Schizosaccharomyces pombe: one gene and its partner. The protein of the gene in region 2 interacts with the protein of the main gene of each other region in a pairwise test. Each region holds a gene or a part of one and is shown on either strand. Other genes may lie near its edges.

Region 1 (7,980 bases), 2.9 Mb from region 2:
AGCCTGTTCAACCTAACCCTTATGGAGCTCCATACCAACAGGCTCCTCCAGCAGGTGCACCTTACTATATGTACCCGAATGCTCCCGCTCAATTTGTACCTCCTGGAGGTTTGCCTTTGGGTACTCCCTTAGACGCATCCACACCTGCGGTCCCGTATTATGGGGCACCTGATCAACAGCAAATGGGTCAACGTCCTGAGTTTGCTCAAAATGTTTCTCAAGGGTTTGCCGGTCAGGCCCCGTACAACGTACGTCCTGGATACGGAATGCCTTCAAACCAGAAGCCTCCCAACTTTGCTCCGGGCATGCCTGCTCCTGGTCCTACCGCGGTATCTGCATCTCCGTCTCTTCAATCCATGCCGCCCACGAATGGAGTGATACCAGGTGCACAGCCCTCCATTGAAGCATCTATTGAAAAAGAAAGTACTAGTATACGGAATTCCACTGTCACAAATGACCGTGTTGTGAATACTACTGTGGATGTCTCTCAATCCCAAACCGTTGAAACATCTGGACCTTCTAAAGAAGTTCCTACAACTCAACCTGATGCTAGTGCTGCAAAGCCTCGTACCGAATTTGACTTTCAAACTGCAAATCAAAAGTTTCAATCGATGAAAGATGATTTGTTAAAAGGAAAAAATGATGAAGAAGCCGAAGAATTTTACAAGCCTAAGCAATCTTTTTTTGATAATATTAGTTGTGAAAGTAAAGAGAAGGGTATGGAAGCTGCAGATAGAAGAGCTCTACGAGATCGCGAACGTTCTTTGAACATGGAGACATTTGGCGTTGCTGGCTCTGGAAATCGCGGCCGTCGTGGACGTGGTCGTGGACGTGGTGGTAGAGGTCGTGGACGTGGATATGCAAGAAATCAATATAACCAATACAGGAATTCCAATGGCTCTCAACCTAGAGCCCAGCCTGCAAACGACCAATGAACTGCATTTCTTATAATGAGTACAGATGAAGTATCCTCGTTTCTCTAGATTGAGCTTCGTCTTCGTTTCAATCATGATGAACTCAAAATTTATGGACATGTATTTAACGACCCGAAAAAAGGTGTTCTCTTATATAAACCAAAAGGATTAGTCGTTGTTATTTGATATTTAACTTAGGAGTTTTGTTAAGTTCTTGTAGAGTGCTTTAAAAACTATACTTATCTGCTCATGTATTACGCAAGAAGAACAAGCATTGAAACGATATCCTATACCGAGATTTCGTAAAGGTATTACGAATAAATGTTAATGGGTTACATATAATTACCAAAAGGTTGAAGACTTAACCAATCCGCTAATGTTTATTCTTTTATACACCTTGATAGACCCAAAGCATCGCTGGTTGCATGACTGAACATTGAACAACCCGTGTTTTTCAACAGTCGTTTCGTTTTTGAAAAGCGTTTTGTAAAAATTTGATTCAGTCGACTTGTTTGAAGCTGACAAACTATAGAATCCAAACAACAATGTTTGAGCAGTATGAACAATTTATAAGCGAATCGTTTTAAAAATAAAAATGTGCTCTCTTAATTTTAGCATTTTTTAATAGTTTAAATTTCACGAACTTAACTACGTGATATAGTGTTTTAATAATCAGCAGTAGAAAAATTAGAACTTAATATTATTTGATCATCAACGAATATCGGAACGCAAGAGTTAACACGTAAACGATACATTACAATTATGTTTTGTTATCAAAAGTAAATTGATCCAGCGATTGAAGCTAAACCAGAGAAAAACATAAATGCGCTTCGAAATAAGTTTTTAAAACCCCATCTGTGAATTATACTGCGGAAATTTTGAGTAGCCTTTACATCTTTAAGTATTAGATCTGGATTTAACGTTTGTAAAGAGTTAATGTCCTTTTTCATAAACAAAAGCGTGAAAGGAATAATACATAGTCCAGATAAAGCCGATATAGCATACAATTTTGAAGAGAATATACTTCTCTTCCGTTCCGAATAAGACAAATAGCCCTGAACCAGAGCATTGGCAATGGCTAAAAATGGGAAGCTCTTTTTGCCCATACTATATATGTATTTCCATTGAGCCAGAGCGACGTCTGCAGGACCGATTAAAATAGCAGGCAACACTTGACTGGTAATGTAAGCAATGGCTCCTGCACTTCCGCAAGGAGTAAGAATTCCGACAGATTGAAACAAATAGACAAGACTCATCGTGAATTAGTGAAATTGAGTGAAAATTGGTGTGGCTGAAGGTGTATGTTAAGTACAATGTATATTCCAACGTTTAATTTCCTCTACCAATTTATATGTAACTAAGAAACTGTTTATAGTAATATGCTACTATTGCCATAGTGGCCACCTGGGTATACAAGCAATATGAAATTAAGACTTTGATATTGATTTAACAGAAGCCTTTCTCATGATTTTATACCATCCTGAAATCCTACTAAAAGATACGGTATATCAGAGGCTGTTTTCTACGCTTTGGTTTAATAGCTTATACCCCGAAATGTGCTAAATTACCAGATTTATTTGGTAAGTATAAGAACTATTTACATGATTGCGAGGCTAAAGCATTGACAATGGTATGCTAGCCCAGCGGAGTACTACCCTAGAAGTATTTCAAGCGGTTGCGATTTCCAAATGTGTAATATCCTGTCTAACGATCCTTTGGAAACATGATTTAGCATATACCCACAACATGGAGCATATCCATCGTAACGTTTGACCTTTGTTAACAGCCGGGATTAATTTATCCGAATTTTTTTCTATACCCTATCTCTTAAACGATAGGTATGTTTCTCATCTCTGTAGCCCTTAACAGATATCGTTCAATTGTCCTACATAGATTAAACCAGTTAAACTTGATTTCCAACCATTATACGTTAACACTTTTTTATAAAATTTGTCAAGTCAAATCACAACTGACACCTTCATGTGGAAAAATACCAAAATGATCTCAGCAATAAAAGGATTAAGAAAAACGAGTGTTAAGCTTTATCGGCTACTTAATGATGCCCAGCATGTTCTTCTTCATCAGTAGAGCTATTGTCATCATCCTTTATTTCGGCTGCTTGAAGATTTGCGAATTGATTATCAAATTCATCATCGACGTTAAAAGCATCATTAGCCAGAGATCCTGAGACAACTTGTTGTACCGGTAACTCGTCGTCGTCGTTATCCGATTCGTTCGCTGTATCAAAATCAAAGGGTTGACTAACTTCGTTAGAATTGACAGTAACCTCAGTATTACTATTTGCTTCAAAAGCACCTGATGTAGTATCAAAGTACTGATTCTCAGTACTTGAGGGTATAGTCTCCGAATTAGGATGCTGTACATGAGTAGTCGTAGACATTTCTAATTGATGATTAGGATCAGGAAGCTCCGTAACTGCAGAGGTGTAATTCGTGACTGATCCAATTGAAATTTGAGGAGAAAGATTAGACATTGGGGGCTCCTCATCACTAGAACTTTCATCATCATCAATCTCATTAAACTGAATTGGTGGAAACTCATCTTGAATATGAGGTGTCGCTTGTTGTACAACTCCATCTTGCGCAGACCTATCGCGTCGAGAAGGAGGAACAGGAGGTTTCACAGGAGCAGGTGTACTAATTGTTTCAGTAGCAAACGGTGCACTAATAGGTTCAGTGGCTTGTTGTTTATTAGCAATTTCAAATGGTGTAGGTGCACTAGTGTTTTCAATAGGTTCCGCACTTGTATTCTCGACTGGCTCAGCTGTGTTTCTGGCAGATCCTGTTAACTTTGACAAGTCAGATAATACCGGGGATCCACGTTGTGAAGCAGAGGTTGATACATCCACAACACTGCTATCCTGATGTTGTGGCTCCTCCATATTTGACAACTGCACAGGTTCAGAGTCCAAGCTAGGATTAACACTTGAGTTATTAACGCTAAGAGATGTAGTCTTTGAAATGCTTCTAGGAAACACAGCCGAAGCAAATTCACTTTCCCAGAAATTTGAAACCGGTGAACTAGCTCCTGAGATTTTCAAGTTATGGAATGGATTTCGGGAAACAGTGGAAGCATGTGCTGATGAATTATTAGAGTTCAGGGATGGAGAACGGAGAGTATTATGCATTGCATCAAAAGAATTATGTTGAGTGGGCACCGAGGAAGTAGTATCAGGAAGGGTTGGCTTATCAGTGGTAATTCCATTGCTGGTAAAAGATGGGAAACGAGGTGTCGAATCCACTTCGGGTTTCGGAGCTTCTTCAGTCAGGTTAACGGATTTCAATCCATCTTCTAATTTGCTGAGTTCTTGCTTTTCAGCTTCCAATTGTTTAGAGTGTTCGTGATATTCTTCGGTTGCGGTAGCTAGTTGCGTTTTAGAGTTATTAATTTTGTACTCTAGGTCAAGTTTTCTTTGCGAAACAGCCTTACTCTCTTCGTCCAAACTAACCAGACGTTGAGTCATTTCATCCAATTGTAAATGCAACTGGGCGAGCGTCTGCTCTTTATCAGCAACCTCGGACTTAAGTTGTTGAATTGAAGCATTAGATGACTCTACCATATTCTTGGCCGCTTCAGATTCTGCAACGACTTGCTCTAAAACTTCACCCTTTTGTTTATTCTGTTTTTGCAATGCATTAAGCGTGGCTTCCAAAATTGAGTACTCCCGATTAACTTGCTCAGTTTGAGCTTTATTAGTTTCAATGTCCAAACTGATCTGCTTGGCTTTTGCTAGTTCCTCATCATAGGCCTTTCGTATTTCACTGACCTTGGCTTTGACATCGCTTAAGTTTGCGGCAACATCGCGAGATGACTTTTGTAAATCATCATTAGATTTCTTTACTTGGGATAATTGCGATTCTAACTTGGGTACCTCTGCAGCTAATTTTAGTTGTTCGGCAGACGCAACCTGAGGAATAGGGGCAGCAAGTTGTGAGGGAACAGAAGTTCGAACTGCTGAAGGTTTGTCCATGGTGTTTTTGGCAATCGTCTGCCCAAAACTGGATTGAGGAAAGAATGTTGATGTAGGGGAATTAGGTTTAGCAGCTGGAGAAGTGGGAAACCCTGGAGTATGGTTAAGTTGGAGAGGTGAAACAACAGGGAACGGTGCACTTTTAGTTACTGGGGGGGCTGAATGCTTTGTAGCATTCGAAGATGTATGTTGAGGAGCAAGGGTAGGAGAGAAAGGAGTAGCATCCAAGCTTAGTAAATCCTCAGTTCCTGAAGTTACTCGGGATGGGCCCGTAGGATTAGGAGCCAACGTAGGGTTGGGATTAGGAGACGAAATATTAGCAGGAACAACGGAAGGGATAGAAGTTGGCACGCTTTTGCTCTTTTGCATTAATGGAGCAACCGAAGAGAGCATAGAAGAAGGGAGCACTTTGGGTAGCTCTTTTCCGGATAATTTGAGCTTAATTAAATAAAGAGATATACAAAACTCACCAATGTTTAATTTACCGTTACTATTAGTGTCACTAAGGTCCCAAATTTGTGCTAAGACATCTTCAGGAAGTTTAGAAGCAAGGAAAAACGAATATGCCTCGCTACCAGAAACGTATCCTTTGTGCGCTTTATCAACGTTGGAAAACAACTGACAGAAGCTAGTCAAGTCTTGAGATGGAATGGCCCATGGATCTGAAACAGGGATGTTTGGAGCTTGCACAGGTGGACTTCGGCTGAGGCCGGGATACTGAGAGGGTGCAGAAACTGATGAGGTTGAAGCTGCGGAAGCGATAAATGATGGTGAAATAGAAACAGGAGGAGACTTTAAGGAACCGTTTAATAAAAGGTTGATTATATGCATACCGGTATTAAACTCGCGAATATCCAGAGCCCCGCGTTTATGAGTATCAACTAAATTCCAGACTCGCGCAAGAATTTCAGTACTAAGAGGTGCACGACCAAAGATTGAGCTAGCTCTGTCACCATCCATCAGACCGTCAGTTGGGCAGACTGTAGTAAACATTTGTTGATACCGTGTCATTTCATCTGAAGAAATAGGAGGTAAGAAAGAACCATCAGATCCATCACCAGAAGAAACGTTATTTGGTCGATTCAGCTGAACAAACTTTGAAGAATCAACGCCAGAGATATGGATATCGGCAAAATATGGAATTTTCCCCGATTTTTTGTAATCAAAAGGTAGCTTTTCTTGTGCGAGAGCCACCAACCTCATGGCAATTACAAAGCCAGAAAATGTAAGAAATCCTCGATTCTCAGCATCTGCGATTTGCCAAATTTGACCAAGGACTTGAGGAGCTAAGCCCGATTTTTCCAAAAACGGTACAGCTTCTTCTCCGGTGATAACGCCAATGTCTTGTTTATCTGCAATTTTAAACAGTTGGTCAAAAGCGGTTTGCTCTTCCGCAGACAAATTCAAAGACATCTCTACTATGCTCAATTTACGTTGTGGTTCAAGTATACTAAATCACTTGTTGAGCAAACTCAGAAATCACCTCCAAAAAAGAGAATTCGATTTACAATACGATCAAAATGTCAAAAAAGACACACTTGTTTGAATCAGGTGTAATTGAGAGGCTGCGATTATATGAGAGCATCCAAGGTAACCGAGATAAAGCAATCGACCCTGCTACCTTAAGCAGGAGTAGTAATTAAGGTAGTTAGCTATATGATACTCTATCACTAAACGCTTTTGCGTGGAAAACAGAGCGTTTAAATATGCTCATAATGATTTGCAATATCGCATTAGCTTTATATAACGATGGTTAACGGCATTGCGTTAATTGATCTATTCATTTCCGACAATTTTTTTGAACTAGTTTCGTGTAAGTAGGTCGTACATAAACGATATCTGAAATGTCTGTTCCTTTTGAAATAATTTACTGTTTTTATGTTTTGATTTTCACAACAGAATGATGCGTATGACAAAACAACACCTGGTTGCATAGTCAAGTTGAAGTGTAAATAAAGCTCAACTTTTTTAGAACTTATTCGGTATTATCAATTTTCGTTTCTTTTATTCGCTCTATAGTGTATTGCTTCGTCTTAAGATTGAACCTTTCCAATTACCGAGTTCATCACCTCTACATTTATTGTAAAAAAGTAATTGTACTGCAATCTCTGACAAGCCATCATGACATACTGACCTTTCAATTACATCCAAAATTCCCTTTAGCTTGTCTTTGTTTGCTTCTTAATGGATGATTTGATCTACAAAAGAAAACGAATCATTATTGGTAAATTAAATAAACATCAGCAGCATTCACGGAGCAATTAAGATACACACTGCCAACGTCAATTACAATAGATTAATGTCAATTGCCTTTCTTTAGAGTCTTTTTTTGTTTGCCAGTTATGAACAGTAGCTCACGGATTAGAAAGTTCAAAAATCAATTATTACGCTTTCTCTTGATGTATCTTAATTCTTCTGAGAGATTGCTTTTAGTCCAGTAAAGACATTTACATCACTGTAGTAAAACAAGTCAAATCACTTAAAAAACTAGTATCTGTCCTCTTCTTCGATATTTTTACCTGGTCGACGGCTGCTTAGTGCTAGACCGTGTTAAAACCGATTGTCTCATTTTCGATTAAACATAGTCTGGTATTATAGATCAGTTGATTAAAACATTTGTTAGCTTTCAAAGTAGATCGTTGAATTGAAGGATTTTACTCAACACCAAAAATCATACACCAAATTTTTTTATCCTCCTTTAGACAATGCTATTACCACAAAAGAACGGGATGAATGGGATCATTTGCTTCTAGACACTAAATTTAAGTAGCCGATAAAAGACGGCTTAACATCCGAGCTTTCGGATGTTCATTTTCACACGATGATTTTGGGTTATCTATTTATACCCAATTTGTATATCTGACATGTGCTTGTTTATCGGTTGGAAATATCTGTCTTTACAGATAATGTGTAGATCATGGTTACTATATATGACTTAGGAGGCTGGTCAATTTAATAGAACCTAGGAAGGAATAATAAAACATGCACTTTGCCAAACTTGGAGCAATTGGTCTTCTTGGAAGTATCATTTGTGCTTATGCCGCTAGTGCTGCTTCAAAGGTCATAATCGACAAT
Region 2 (8,647 bases):
AGGAGCACCATAGGCATCGAAATTGTCGCTAAACTGATAATCCTCTTCATCATCTGGCTTCTTAAAGATAGGAAAGCTAAACATATCGGGTTCTGCAGGAGATTCATAAACATAGGGAGTATCAAAAATGTCATCCATGTTTTTCAATACTAGGAGATCGCTATCCAGAATGCAGACCTTATCAAACTGTGTTTGCTCAAATACACTGAGTTTTGTGAACATGTATTGATAACGATAACTGCCCATGCCAATAGACAAACCACTTTCAATTAAGTCTTCAGTTTTAATTTGATCGACCATAATTATTTCGGCCCCATCAAGTCGCAATCGTTCAATTTTCCATTCATCAACCCCTTTCATAACAAGGACATGAACGGGATATTTACTTTTCGTTTCAGGATGATGTTTCAGCTTGTATACTAGTACTCGAGTAGCATTGAAGTATACATCATGTTCTGAAGTAGGAAGGGTAAGTAAGCCCATAAATGTATACCTTTTTAAATCATCTACATTATCGTTATAATATGGGCCATGCTTATGAAGCCCAAATTCATAGGCTGCCGATGAAATTAGCGATCCAGGAAATGCGGGATCCCGATATATTTGGATCCCTAAAAGTAAACCCAAATTCAGCAAAAGAATTAGTGAAATCAAGACAAATTTTGAGCGAAGTAGAAGCCTGGTATGTAAGCGTAACCGCTTAAAGAAATTCATATTCTATAAAGCAAATTTTATCGCTTTCCGCAACTTCGTTTATAGCTATAAAATCCCCACCAGAATAATAAAAACCCTAGGATTATAACTGACTATATCTCGTTAAGACTTGCTAGGTTTAATACAATAAATATAATGTAGTTTGTATTATTGAGTTTGGTAGTGGCTGACTACAATTTAGGAGACTAAAGGTACGATGTAATGCGTACGAAGTATAGTTTTTCATGTAAAATTTTAAGATTATTTGAGTTTACAGTACTTGTTATTTGACATTAAAAGGTTTAAAAAATTTATCAATTACTTGCTATTGATATTTTCTATCCCATCTTCACTCTATCTAAAACCAAGCCTTCTTTGATATATATATTTAAAACAACTTTTAAATAGATTTGCTACCTAAAACATTTTCAAATGTCTTATTGAAATCTAAAAATGAAAAACATGCTAAGGATACGTATGCTCACTAATTAGCAATTTTTATATAAATCCGTTGGTTTTCCTTTGGTCAAAGAAAAAGCATTTATAACATGTTTGCTTACAATTTTAAAATTGATGATAGGACTAACACTTGATTCTTTACACTAATTAGGAATTTTTTAAGAAGGAGCAAAATTTCTTGAAACCATTGAACTTTCAGTGAGTTTTAAACATACGTGATCTAATTTGCATACAGAGAGGAAGCTATTTTTTTGATTATGGTTTACCTGTATCCAGAATCCCATCGATCGTGTATATGAATTTGAATAGTATAGTGGTTTTAAAAAAGGACGGAGGAAACACAAATTATTTTAGAATGACTGTAAAAATGAGATAGCCTTTCAACAGTACGTGTTGTCAGCAATACATTAAATGAAAATAACTGCTTCTTAAAAGTCAAAAGCCGCCTTATTTTTTACTTGATCACGACATGAAAATTGCTTTCATCTGTTTAATATAAATCAGCATTACGTTGTTGGTCATGATACGTTTGCATTTCTTGAAACGCATCCCACCATAGCTTGGATGTGTCTTCATCATAACCTAGACTTCCTTCTGGTTGCCAATGTTTTCCATGAACTGCTTTTAGATATGGTAAGTCATTTTTTCTAGCCCAAAGTCCGTTAAAAGTCCAATCAAGTGACTCCCATGGAAAAGCACCTGCTGAATTGTATGCAAAATTTAGCAAACTTTGCTCCATCATGTTTGCATTATCATACAATTTTGGAAACCTTGCTAATGCCATTAACCTTTTATAATGTGCCTTCAATGGCTTAAAGACGAATAGACCAGCATTAAAATAATCTTTAAAAGGAGGAGGAGTTTCATGCCACATACCTGGATCGGACACAGCAGCGAAAACGTAGGGATAAAGATCGTCTCTTGTCAGCCCGTAAGCTGCAAACTCTTCTGTAAAGCGTCTCCAAAAAATGCTGCGCCTAGGCTTGTAGAATAGGGTGGGAGGAAACAGAACAGAATCCTTACTATAGGAGAGTTGGTGAACATCAAAAACTTTGTCCATTTTTTTAATAGGCAAAATATCACTATCAAGAAAACATATTCTATCATATTCGTACATTTCGAAAACTCTCAACTTGGTAAACATCATACTCCATCGGGAATCCAGTAGGGCAATGTCATTGACATCGTCAACCACTTCATGAGCATATAGTGGATCGACTACTTTAACAATAGCTCCGTCTTCCTGCAATTGATCAAGCTTCCACTGATCAATTCCCTTCATGGCTAGCACTACAACGGGATACTTGCTTTTCGTAGGTTTAAATTTGACAAGTCGGTGAACGAGAAGCCTAGTTGAATTATAATACCAATCCTGTTGCGTATTTTCTACTTCGTTTTCCCCATTAGCGGCGCGTACAGTAAGCATAGTTACAAATGCCATCTTAGAAGAGGGCGCCAACCCTGTCAGTGTGTAAACTGACCTTTGTATTTCTGGACTATGATTGTATAGCAAAACACATTGCCAACCTAATAAAATAATGCTCAAGGTAATCAGTAAACACAGTCCTAGTCGTTTGGGATGGCGAAAAGCACTAAAATATAAACGCATTTTAATGGCAATTGATTGCCAAATTATAAAATGGTGGTGCTTTCGGAGAGAATTACTCTACATACTCCCTTAATGTTTGTTGGTGCATCATACACATTTTGCTTACTTTCAATACCAAAACAAACTCAACACCCTGAAAAACAAATAACATAATTAAATCGACTTTATAACGTAAAAACATCAAATGTTTAAAAATTAAACAAGCTTACTATTTTAACTATAAGAAATGTTAAGATACATGACTCTGACTTAAAATTTTCTCTTATTTAATAAGACGTTTAACCTAAACCAATTATAGTATAATACTAAATAGTTACCGACAAGCTAAGCTACTCAAACTATGTCGAAATGGGTGAATGACGAGATAAAGACAGTTGCTTCCACTGAGGGTTAACAGCCAGTGTGAAAAAAGGATAAAATAACGGTGACTTGAAAAAAGGGCTATCGAACAACTGTTAGAAATTGTCCGGATTTTTTAGGTTATAACAATTGCTTAGGGAAGCAAATTAAGACGGGAAGCAATATCCACTTGAGTACGTAAGGTATTTGCGAGATAAACTACAACCAAAACATCTTGAAGATGTGATGAAAAAATTTTTTCAAAATCTTGGCCTTCTACGCAAGGAATTAAACTAAAGCACTTCATCAAATATCTACCGACAGCAACATTAGCAGGCGAAGAACCATCAATTACGTTTTGCACATAATCGGAAACTCTTTCAATCATAGATAAAAGCTCCAAGGTTGATCTTCGAAGTTGCTGGAGATCTGTGAATAGGCTAGCAAGTCTAGATGGGTCATTCTTAGGAGCAGCTACAGCTTTCAAACCAGAACGGACTGCCTCGTCATCACGAATGGTAAAAGGGGTAGGGACGAATGCACAGCTGTCAGCAAGGCGCTCTGTAATACCTACTGGTGAAGAAACGTAAGTCTTGATGGCAAGGGGACTGCTAACATCTGTGTTGACAGTAAGGTGAACACAGGGATGAGGATACGTTCCTAGTGGAGCAGTTCCGGGTTCAGCAGGAGAAGCATATAAATTTTGAATCAGTGCACTGAAAGCATCTAAATCAGGAGAAGTAGCATACCAACCAACGACAACTTCACGAGGGTTAGCCTTGAGGTGTAAATGGTACATCGCACGATGATATTCCATTTCAACTTCTACCTGCTCACTGCTCTCATTATGAGGAACTGCAAAACAACTTTTAATCTCAATTTCTCGGCCATCTTCAGAACGTGTTCCCAAAAGTGTACCGATAACACGTTGATTATTTTCACTTTTCCGGGTTGAATGGTCAAGGATAGAAAAAAGCACTGCTGGTTCAATGACAATGTTCAAAGGACTTGACCTGGAAGACGGTTTTGTGAGATGGAGTACGTGCTTAGTCCCCAAAGCCATTTTTTAAAATTTTCACGTTGTTGGCTACTCTCAGGTAGGTAGATCTGGTATTGTTCCCCAATCAATAATAATTTTACTGTACTAGTTTACAGTCTCATAGAATTCGTTAAATTGAAGACACTATTTTTCGCCTAACTTCTAAGGTTTACCATTTAAGAAAGTGTATTTTCAGTTGCGTTGAATAATCTAAAAAATCTCCTTAACAATGTCTCATTTGTACGTACAATAATGAGAAACTCTTTATTCAAAATTCTATAACTATTTACATTTGTACATTCTCTGGTTAAAAATCATTTATATATATATACAATGTTCAAAAAATTCGGTTAGCAAAAAAGTGTAAACATAAAACCCAAAAAAGCAGTTTGCTTTTTCTTGACTAATAATGAACAGTAATTTAACTCATATCAGCAAAAACAGAGCACTCACGAACATGAATACCATAGGAAGTAGGAACCTTCGTTTCTTCATAAGCACTTTCTAGCTGAGAACCTCCACTAGAAGAAGTAGTATCAAACATATCTGGTTTCAAAAACAATTTGGTGAGACCAGGGTTATTAGAGGAATCAACCATGCGAATACGGAACTCGATAACTGGCTTTCTAATAGCAGCACTAGGACTAATCGCAAACTTGGCTAAAATTTTAAATCCAGACGAAGATATATTAATGTTCGAAAGATGTAGCTTAAGTTTACTAGTTTTCCTGCTAAATTCTCCGGCCGGAGAACTTTGACAGCTTTTTACAAGGACATTTTCCCCCAAGTAAACGATGATAACAAGTTTTTCAATATGAAGAGATGAGCCTAAGTTCCTCCACACAGGATTAGGCTTCACAAATGCAATCATACTACTACTGCTTTCATCATGCTTCCATTTCTGAACAACTGTCAATGGAATGCAACTAGCACCGTTAATACTATCAAGATGTAGATTAAAATCAGTGACTTTGATTGGTGAGAGAAGTAGCTCTGGTATTAAAGAAAGTGTGTTTTCTGAGGGTCCATATTTTACTGCATGGTCATTTAAATGAGTAAAAGACATAGGAAATTCAGACGCAACGCGAACACCCATTTCAGGAGGAGGGGTATTAAAATCCGAGGTATATTTCATGAATATATGACCGGAACAGGAAGGATGAAGAAGGCCATCTTCAGATAATTCACCAGAATACTTTTCGACGATTGAAGCAGAAAGCCCGGAAGAATTTGGGAACTCAGGGTGCCATGTTGCAGTCGAGTCTGGTCCCGATTGTAATGATAAAGTAGACAAATTGGGCAAGCTACCGAGGTTTGATTCCATATAGTCAGACGATGCTGTAGCATAACGATCCATTGTCCCAGCACGACGGGTCCTTCTTGATATAGTGGGATTCTTTCGTAAAGTATTTGCTACCCTTTCAATTGCAGCATTGCTATCCTCGTTTTCAGTAGGCGCAGGGGAAGCCACCGCTGATGTGGGAGACGTTGTTGTTGATCGTGATTGCATGTTGTTAAAGTTCCCACCAAAATCATTGCCATGCATCATGATAGGATTCGAATGTGATGCATTCTCTCTATCGATCGATGAAGGGGTATTTCTTGAGGCTTCAGAGTGCACAGAATTGGGTTTATTAAAGGGGGAAGCCTTGGAGGAAATCTTAGGCGTAACCGTTTCTGCTTGAACATTAGGCTGCACAGGTAGCGGAGCCTCCAAAAAGGATGAGCGAACATTGTTTGCACGAATAGTGGCATCGTTGTCCTCGCCCTCGTCGGAAGTTTCATTAAAGTTTTGATAAGACGAAGCGTTATTATTAGTAGAGGGATGATCCCGAATTTGTGAAGAATGATTGGAATCATAATGTCTTCGTTCGATTGAACTATCATCTATATTCGATGGGTGTTCTTCAGCAGACGAAATACTCGAAGCTTTGGAGTTCTTATTAAAAAAAGCAGTTAATTTATTAGGGCGACCATTAGATTTATGCGAAGGCTTCTTATCCTTTTTAGGCATTATGGTTTTCCGACGAAACAACGTGGACATTTTGTTCTTCAATTTACCACCAGATTCATTTTCTCCATGACTCTTTTCCTCTTTAGATTTTCCATTGTTTATGTGAAAGCCCGATGACTTAGATGGTTTATTAGCAGATGCGGAAGACATAACTTTCGATGTGGAGTTCATGAATTGACGGATTTCACCTTCAATAGGTAGATCAGAATAAACTGCCATAGATTTAGAAAAAAATTCTTGCTGTTTAAGAGCCGTATCAGTTTCCAAACTTGCAATTGTCAGGTAAACTTGTTTCAATATAAGGAGGCGTTCCTCGTCAACAATTTGCAATTTTTCAAACGCTAAAGGAGCATCGGAATCCCAGGTTGCACGAGAAGCAGTGAGATCATTCTGACTCTTAGTATCCGCATCACGGCCTTTTTTTTTTAATCCCTTCAGACCAGGTACAGAAGACGATGCCATCTCCTCTGCAACTGTTGATAACCGCTCTGCTAAACGTCTAAGCGTAGCCGTTTGTGGTGAAGAAGTATAATAATCTATCAAAGGTTTATAAACTTGCGAAGCTATTTGTCCAATGATTTGACTGTGATATCTTGAAATTTCAAGGGTTTCTCCCTCGAGCTGTTTCCAAGCATAATTAAAAGCAAACGATGAATTGTTTTTTTCTTGCATGTTCATTGCAAGCTTATGTAATTGATCTGAGTATTGCCGTTCAATATCCATTCGCTCACGAATCCACTGCGAAAGCATGTCGTTGTCTAGGCGAACTTGCTCTAGGCGCTGTCGAAAGATCGACATGCTGTCGTTTGGAGAGTAGTTTGACTATTTGTTAATAAGAAGGAAATAGCTAAAATAAAGCTTACCAAAAACGCATCTACATACTCCGTTTTCGTCAATGATTCCATGGCGTGGTGGTGGTTAGTGTAGGGGGAATGCGACTCGATACATGACACTTTATTCCAAAATTGCAAAACAAATTGTTTATGGAGGATGATTAGTATTGCTATTAGATGGCTGTTATGAAGACATAAGAAAATATTTTTAATAAGGCAAAATTTTCATTTCTACATACATCAATATCGATGTTTCCGAAATATGCATAAATAAATTAATCGATTATTAACTAGTTAGCTGCTCAATACTATGGATTAGTCTCAAAAATATTTCAATTGAAAAGTGACCCAATATACCAACACATATTCGAACCGCTTAACGATTTCTCAAAAAACACAAGTTTTTGAATAAAAACATATAGGTAGTGAAATCTATTGAAACGTTCAATTTTTTTAAGCCTTCAACATACGCTAATTTCAAATCTGAGTTCTCACTACTATTATCGCACCTTTTTCTATTCTTTCGAAAACATACGTTTGAGCAGAGAAAAAGTCAGTAACAACTTCCATAGTATAAAAAAGAAGGAGATATGTTCAAAAATCAACAAAAAATATGAATAATTGTTCGTAAACCCATATTGTTACCATAGATGAATTTTACTAACTAGTGCTTATAAACGAAAGTTTTCTTTCGCTACTTAAGGTAAGTAAGCAGAAAACATTGAGAATGGCTTTAATTCAATTAAATTTAAAAATGAAGAGAGACCAAGATCAGAAATCCTAACACATGTTAGACTATTAAGGCACTTTATCTGAAGTGAAGTCTAATAAAATGTAAGCAACGAAAGTCAGTTGATTGATACCAACATTCCACTCGCATACAGTACGAATTCTCTAAATAACTCCAGTTTATTTTTATTACGACAATGAAACCATAATGCCATGGTTTAAGTGGTCAATATGTTAACCGTGTAACAATGAAAGTACATCGTAACGTGTTAGCATCAATAATCCGGTTTTTTCGGTTTGTTTATAAATTTACCGATGCGCTAAAATATCTAATTTGTAGTTTACCAAAAAATTTTACGTGTGTTATTGTATATAACGCGCTGTAAAATAAGTAATGAAGCTTCACAGCTATGCACATTGTAACGCATTTCACCGGACTTTAGCAAATTACAGTCTAAGGAAATTTTCTTTTCATACAGAACCAAATAGGTCTGTGGGCGGATTGCATGTGCCGGTTGTATACAAAAGCAAAATAGTACAATGAATATTGCACAGCCAGTCTCTTCGGAGATTAAAAGTGTGAAGTTTGGGATTTACGATGTTGACGATGTCGAAAAAATATCCGTCAAACAAATCGTAAATCCCGTTTTGCTTGACAATTTAAATCACCCTACTAACGGCGGATTATATGACCTTGCTTTGGGTCCATATCTAAAAAATTCTGTTTGCGCTACATGTCATTTGGATGAAAGATACTGCCCTGGTCATTTTGGTCATATAGTACTTCCTATTCCTGCATATCACCCTCTATTTTTTTCTCAAATGTACAATTTATTACGTTCAACTTGCTTGTACTGCCATCATTTCAAGCTTTCAAAAGTCAAGGTTCATCTTTTCTTTTGTAGACTCAAGTTGCTTGATTATGGTCTTTT

Evidence for each region. Proteins that work in one complex are often made in the same cells at the same time.
Region 1: the proteins of syp1 (region 2) and ede1 interact in a two-hybrid assay, tested with the Schizosaccharomyces pombe proteins (one large-scale study listed by BioGRID).

The regions. Positions count from the first base shown.
Region 1 is NC_003423.3:268,020-275,999, forward strand, and holds ede1 (EPS15 repeat-containing family actin cortical patch component protein), read right to left. Parts: upstream 6,450-7,980; 5' UTR 6,319-6,449; coding exon 2,968-6,318; 3' UTR 2,429-2,967; downstream 1-2,428. Other genes in the region: sum2 (translation initiation inhibitor), read left to right, coding at 1-935; SPOM_SPBC800.14C (uncharacterized protein), read right to left, coding at 1,688-2,170; SPOM_SPBC800.11 (inosine-uridine-preferring nucleoside hydrolase), read left to right, coding at 7,888-7,980.
Region 2 is NC_003423.3:3,119,644-3,128,290, forward strand, and holds syp1 (cytoskeletal protein Syp1), read right to left. Parts: upstream 7,079-8,647; 5' UTR 7,059-7,078; coding exon 7,017-7,058; intron 6,976-7,016; coding exon 4,561-6,975; 3' UTR 4,359-4,560; downstream 1-4,358. Other genes in the region: alpha-1,3-galactosyltransferase Otg3, read right to left, coding at 1-714; alpha-1,3-galactosyltransferase Otg2, read right to left, coding at 1,643-2,761; tif306 (translation initiation factor eIF3f), read right to left, coding at 3,255-4,163; DNA-directed RNA polymerase I complex large subunit Nuc1, read left to right, coding at 8,256-8,647. UniProt on the Schizosaccharomyces pombe protein: Multi-functional protein that contributes to the endocytic process, but also to events that occur at the neck during cytokinesis.